Arabidopsis thaliana: one gene and its partner. The protein of the gene in region 1 interacts with the protein of each later gene in a pairwise test. Each region holds a gene or a part of one and is shown in the gene's direction. Other genes may lie near its edges.

The links. The genes of interacting proteins can lie anywhere in the genome.
Region 2: the proteins of AGL36 (region 1) and HB24 interact in a two-hybrid assay, tested with the Arabidopsis thaliana proteins (one large-scale study listed by BioGRID).

What each region holds. Positions count from the first base shown.
Region 1 is NC_003076.8:9,341,788-9,345,524, forward strand, and holds AGL36 (AGAMOUS-like 36), read left to right. Parts: upstream 1-1,997; coding exon 1,998-3,098; 3' UTR 3,099-3,224; downstream 3,225-3,737. UniProt on the Arabidopsis thaliana protein: Probable transcription factor.
Region 2 is NC_003071.7:7,970,472-7,974,194, reverse strand, and holds HB24 (homeobox protein 24), read left to right. Parts: upstream 1-2,113; 5' UTR 2,114-2,284; coding exon 2,285-3,073; 3' UTR 3,074-3,169; downstream 3,170-3,723. Other genes in the region: AT2G18340 (late embryogenesis abundant domain-containing protein / LEA domain-containing protein), read right to left, coding at 3,170-3,723. UniProt on the Arabidopsis thaliana protein: Putative transcription factor.

The sequences.
Region 1 (3,737 bases):
CAAATAAAAAAAAAGACAAAAATCATATTTATGTATTAAACTCTTGATTTTACCCAAATTATGCATATATTTTCTAAATAAAAATAATTTTCATAAATAATTTTTTATATGTCATTATTAATAAATAAATACATGTAGTCATATTAATGTATTAAACTCTTGATTTTACCCTTATATGTAGTCCATTTTTAAAAATACTCTTTCTCTTGAGCAAAACAAACAAATTACCCACATCTAATGAGAAACATGTAATTTATGAACTGAAATTTTCCCGCCGAATTTATTTTTTCCCTGACAAAAAAAAATTCTACCAAAATATTTTTTTTTCCGCCAAATTTTTTTCCCGCCATTTTTTTTTCTCTGTAACAAATGTTTTTCCAGCTAAAAACATGCATTTAAAAATCTTTGTAAAGGTTTTTAAAAGCTTTGTAAATTTGTTAAAAACCCTTGTAAATCATTTTAAAACCTATTAAAATCTTTATAAAAATTTTAAATATATATGTAAATACTTTAAAAACCCGTTTTAAAACCTTTTGTTTTACATTTTAAAACCTTTTACAATAATTTTAAAAGATTTACAAGAGTGTTTAAAAGATTTACAAGGATTTTAAAAACATTTGTAAATGTTGTAAAAATCCTTGTTAAATCCTTTAAAACCCTTGAAAACTATTTAAAAACCATATAAAAATCTTTTAAAAACCCTTAATAATTTTTGAACCATTTTAAACTCTTATGAACCCCTTACAAAATGTTTTAAAAACCCTTGTAAACCATTAAAAATCTTTTAAAATCTCATGTAAACCCTTTAATAATTTTTGAACCATTTTAAAGTTCTAGAAAATTATTTTAAAAATCTTTGTTAATCTTTAAAAACACATGTAAATCTTTTAAAACCCTTTTCAAATCTTTTAAAATCACTTGTAAATCTTTTAAAACCCTATAAAAATCTTTTAAAATCCTTTGTAAATCTTTTTAAAACCTTTTACACTTTATAAAAATCTCTTAAAATCCCTTATAAATATTTTAAAACCCTTTTACACATTTTAAAAATCTATTAAAATCCATTGTAAATCTATTTCCTGCGAAATTTGTTTTTTGCGGGAAAAATCTTTTTTAAAACAAATATTATGGCAGAAAATGTTTTTTTGAAATTTTTTGGCGGAAAATTTTTTTCAGAATATTATAGGCGGGAAAAATCAATATTTCATTTTTTTACCTAAAACATATTTTAAATAGGGGTAAATAGTCATTAAAAATTAAAAAAGGGTATAAATGAAAATAACAAATAAGAAAGGGCAATACTGAAAAGGGATTGTGTTGAAAGGGCATTCATACCAATTATTCAAAGTTTTTGGCGTTTCTGTGAGATGTACTTTGCATATTTTCCAAGTTGTTTGCCCATTCTAAAAATTTATTTGTATGATTCAGAGTACATCTTTAAATTACTGTAGATAACAAACTTTCTGAAATTTACTTTAGATAACAAACTTTAGAGTAATTTCTAGCTTACCACAATTCTATATACATTGACAATATATTACTGTATTTTAAAAGTACAATCACTTAAAACTATTGCAAAACTTCATATTTTAAGAACAAAGTAAGCTAGAAATTATTCTTAGTAAAAAGAAACAATGAGAGTAAGAGAAATTAATTCGCCAAAATAAAAACAAAACTTAGAAATACAAAATATTATATTACATGCCCCCTCGTATTACATGGATAGATTTTTTTCTTTTTTTTGTCATCAGATATTATTTAGGATCAGACGTACCAAACTTTGGATAAGAAAAAATATTTTTATATAGATAATAATGAATTACCTGGTCAATTAATTGATAAGAGATTTCCTGGATGTTATTTAGAATTAATTAGTCCACCAAAGTGATAAGAATCCTAGTGTCTATAGAATCACCTTTCTTTGCTATATAAACATCCTTTGAGCAAACAAATTAAACAAACCACACAAAACAAAAAAAAAAAACAAATTGATGGGGATGAAGAAGGTGAAGCTATCTTTGATAGCTAATGAAAGATCAAGGAAAACATCCTTCATAAAGAGGAAAGACGGGATTTTTAAGAAACTCCACGAGTTGTCAACTCTGTGTGGTGTCCAAGCTTGTGCTCTCATCTACAGTCCATTCATACCGGTTCCAGAGTCATGGCCGTCAAGGGAAGGTGCTAAAAAGGTGGCTTCAAGGTTTCTGGAGATGCCGCCGACAGCCCGAACCAAGAAGATGATGGATCAAGAGACTTACCTTATGGAGAGGATTACCAAAGCAAAAGAGCAACTAAAGAACCTGGCTGCTGAGAACCGAGAGTTACAGGTTAGACGATTTATGTTTGATTGTGTTGAAGGCAAAATGTCCCAGTATCATTATGATGCAAAAGACCTTCAAGATTTGCAATCTTGTATAAATCTATATCTCGATCAGCTTAACGGAAGGATCGAGTCCATTAAAGAAAATGGTGAGTCGTTGTTGTCTTCCGTCTCTCCTTTTCCTACTAGAATTGGTGTTGACGAAATTGGTGATGAGTCATTTTCCGACTCTCCTATTCATGCTACAACTGGGGTTGTAGATACTCTTAATGCTACCAATCCTCATGTTCTTACGGGCGATATGACTCCTTTTCTTGATGCGGACGCAACTGCGGTAACTGCTTCCAGTAGATTTTTTGATCATATTCCATATGAAAATATGAATATGAGTCAAAATCTGCATGAACCGTTTCAACACCTTGTTCCTACTAACGTTTGTGATTTTTTTCAAAATCAGAATATGAATCAGGTTCAATACCAGGCTCCTAATAATCTGTTTAATCAGATTCAACGAGAATTCTACAACATAAATTTGAATCTGAATTTGAATCTGAATTCGAATCAGTATCTGAATCAACAACAATCATTCATGAATCCGATGGTGGAACAACATATGAATCATGTTGGAGGGCGTGAAAGCATTCCTTTCGTGGACGGAAACTGCTACAACTACCATCAACTACCATCCAATCAACTACCAGCCGTTGATCATGCTTCCACCAGTTACATGCCTTCCACCACCGGTGTCTATGATCCTTACATCAACAATAATCTCTAATCACAAAAGAGGGAGAAGAACTAGTCTAAGTGTTCAATTGTTTGTATTTGTGTTTTCTTCATTTCGAAAGACAAAAACTAATGTTGTTTATTAATAATGGTTAAAGGATCTCTTTTTAACTTAATTATGTATTTTGATTATTAAGTAATGTTTTGCCCCCAAAAAAAGATTATTAAGTAATGTATTTGCTCACCGTAGTGTGGGAAACTTTAATTGTAGAATTTTATTTCGAAAATTTAAGATGTGACTGGTACAATATTTAGACGGAAATTTTCAATTGAATTCTTTTAGGACCCATACATAGAGAATAATTGTTTTCCCCAGCAATTTAAAGTAAGAACTATTATTCTTTGAATCAATTATCGATTTGCCATTTTTTGGGATGGTATCTGTGGATTTTGTCCTTTTCTGAATAGTTTGTAGATTTTGCCTTTTTCACACTACGAAAATATGATTTAACATGTGTTTTATTCGTTATGTTTTGGTTTAGTCGGTTGTGCTTGTTCTTAGGATTTAATATTTTGTATAAACTACGTATTTTTACCAAAAAAATCGGAAATACATACTTTTTTTAGTGTTAGAAAATGGCATATCCATAAGATTTTAGTAAAAATTACAATTTCAAAAAAATTCTATGAA
Region 2 (3,723 bases), on another chromosome or scaffold:
AAATAATAATTTCTACTAATTGTAAAATAGATTATCATTACATATATATAAATATATAATCATATTAAATAGATATCAGTAATATACTTCAAAACAATTATACTTAAGTTTCAAATGAGGCTTTGTTTCCTTTATAATCCTCCCTTTTCAATTTATTAAGATTTTGTGTCTGTTTTTTTCACATTTAAAAAATGAAAGAAGCCTAAGTTTTATTTATTTTTCATAGGATGTTATGAATTTTTTTGTATAATGATAAATGTTATATTTAAAAAAGTACAATGATAGAATGATATATACTAGTTTCTTAGATGATAGTTGTAAACTTTAGAATATTATTATTTTCCTCTCTCCTAAACTTTGATTTTTTTTTCTTCTAAAAAAGGCATTATTAGAAATTAAGAATCTCAAAATGTTAGTAATTCTTTTTCTTCACGAAGTACTAGTATTGTTTATTGTAAAAAAAATCAAGTTAGATTTCCCCGAACGTGTGGCCGCGAGGAACAGCATATGGGATGAGATATGTCGCACATGAGAAATGCATATAGTTACATGTATCTAGACTGACCATTCAATTTAAATATAATTGTTCAACTAACTAAACAAATGATAATAATCCTGTATGTCATCAACGAATCATAATCATTATCCAGCACTAAAATCCTTTTTTTGTTCTTCTATCATGGTCTACTGATCTTTTGGCTCCATTTTGGAGAAATCAACCGTAACTAAAAGTATATATATATATATATATATATATATATATATATATATATATATCTTGGTTTGAAGATTTAGTTTTAGTTTTATATGTCAAGTAGAACATCATTCGTCCACTTTCTGTTCTTTTTTTTTGTTTTGATTTTATATTTATTCTTCTAAACCATAATTCTCATCCATTAGATACTTATTTTGAATATCTTAACAATAAATATTGTTATTTTAATGTAACTTACACTAAAATGAAAAATTTAATATTAAATATAAATTGACAAGTGGAAGAAAAGCCTATTAAGAATTTTTTTCATAAGTTTTTATATATTAAAAGTCCGGTAAAAGCTCTCCAGTTTTTCCCAAAAAAATAAAATGAAATAAAGCTCTCCAATGAGAATTGTGTAAGGATTGCATTATGAAACACAAATCCGGTCAAAACACTGTCGATTACTCCATTTTTTTTATTTATTGTATGTTTTCATAACTTTAAACATTAAGGGTGTGTACGGAAAAAAACATTAAGAATGTGATTGGTTACTCTAATTAGCGCAAAATAAAAGAGTTGAGAAAAAATTCTGCCCAAATCATCTTATTTTGGTTGTCTGAATTTTAAAAATCAGATCAAAGTAGATAAGAGACCATACCATATATTACAAATATTTCGACCAATTCGATTTTCGCTTATTTTACAAACAATATTTTGGTTATCTTATTTATTTTACAAAGTAAATGTTCATAAGGTATTCAATCTTTCATTTTATTTTACAAACAATATTTAATGCATGCACCATAATATGTTGCACTGATCGTACTAAACCTACTTACATCGCTAATTTTACGCTAAGCCACAGACACTAATCTCATCAACTATACTAATTGTTGACATTCGACTTAATTAACACAAGATAATTTTATCATTACTCAACATTAAAAACCAATAAAAGAAAGATGTATTGCGACCAATGTGCGGACACTGTATGATAGAGAAACAACGTGGCACTGTCTGCTACAAGTCCACATCTTACTTTCTCTCTCCATCTCTTGTTTCTTAGTGGACTGTGTTATTATTATTATTGGCACAGACCAAACCCACTTGGCTCCTTCATTAGATTTTTTTTCTCTCTCGGAAATTGATGGGCAATAGGAAACACGATTCTCTAATTCTCTCTCTAGAAGGACCAATAGTGTCTTCTTCTCTCCTCTTTTCTCTTTCTCCATTAGTAACGACCTAAACTTTATTTTCTTTTCTTGATCTCTTCTTAAATGGGGTTAGATAAGTTTTCCCCTTTAATTTAGTTGCTTGTAGACTTGAGATTAGTCTAGTAGGTTTTGGTGGGCTATCACTAATACAAAAGTCAAAGTCAAAATTTTTAAAAAGGTTTCAACTTTGGAAGAGATATTTATCATCTTCATTTTCTCTATAGGTTTATGAGAAGCTAAAGCTATGATGATTTCTTTAATCAAAATAGCTTAGGGTTTTGGAGAGAGATTACTAAGAAAGTTTTAATGTTTGTTTAAGAGAAAAGTTATATATTAGGGTTTTCTTTATTCAGAAGCTTCAAGATCAGAAAAGATGGAAGTTAGAGAGAAGAAAGATGAGAAAATGGAGATGACAAGAAGAAAATCATCAGCTCTAGATCATCATCGTCTTCCTCCGTACACTTACTCCCAAACCGCCAACAAAGAGAAACCCACCACCAAAAGAAACGGGTCGGACCCGGATCCGGATCCGGATCTTGATACTAACCCAATTTCTATATCTCATGCTCCAAGATCATACGCTAGGCCTCAAACTACTTCTCCGGGGAAGGCAAGGTATAGAGAATGCCAAAAGAATCACGCGGCGAGCTCCGGTGGACACGTTGTCGACGGTTGCGGCGAGTTTATGTCTTCCGGGGAAGAAGGCACGGTGGAGTCTCTTCTTTGTGCAGCTTGTGATTGCCACCGGAGCTTCCATAGAAAAGAGATCGATGGTTTGTTTGTTGTCAATTTCAATAGCTTTGGCCATTCACAGAGACCACTCGGAAGCCGCCACGTGTCTCCGATAATGATGAGTTTTGGTGGTGGTGGTGGTTGTGCGGCGGAGTCATCGACGGAGGATCTAAACAAGTTTCATCAATCTTTTAGTGGTTATGGAGTGGATCAGTTTCATCATTATCAACCCAAGAAACGGTTTAGGACAAAGTTTAATGAAGAACAGAAGGAGAAGATGATGGAGTTTGCTGAGAAGATTGGTTGGAGAATGACAAAACTAGAAGATGATGAAGTGAATCGGTTTTGTCGTGAGATTAAAGTTAAAAGACAAGTGTTTAAAGTTTGGATGCACAACAATAAACAAGCAGCAAAGAAGAAGGATTTGTAAGAGATTTCTATATATATATATATACTATTTTTACTTCTCTTTGTTCAACATTGCTTTAACTTAAAGACTTTGTGTTTATTGTATAACAAATTGATTTTAGAGCTCAGCATAACGGTCTCTTATTTCTCCCGCAACTTGAGAAGCCTTTTTCTTTGCGGTTTCATAAGCATATTTTGTGGATTCTTTGGCTACACCGTACTTTTCGCCGACTTTTTCCATGGCTTCTTCAAATCCTCTAGTTGCTCCATCTTTGGCATTGTGTGATTTGTCTTTCATGTAGTCAATAGAATCATCCATTGCTTCTCCTGCCGTGTCTTTGGCACTCTTTGACTTTTCTTTGGCTCCTTCATAGGCTTCACCGCTCTTATCCGTTGCCATCCTAATCACATCACCGGCCTTGTCGTATCCGTAACCCGCCTTGTCATATGCAAAGTCTTTTGCATCTTGGGCCTTTTCGTAAGCTATGTCTTTTGCATTGCCAGCCTTCTTGTAGGCGTAGTCTTTGGCCTCACCAGCTTTCTCATAACCAGAATCCTTTGCCTTCTGCGCACTGCCATAAGCAGATCCCACCTTATCATAGGCCATGTCCTTGGCATTGCCCGCCTTATCATAGGCCATATCCTTGGCAATGCCAGCCTTCTCATAAGCCA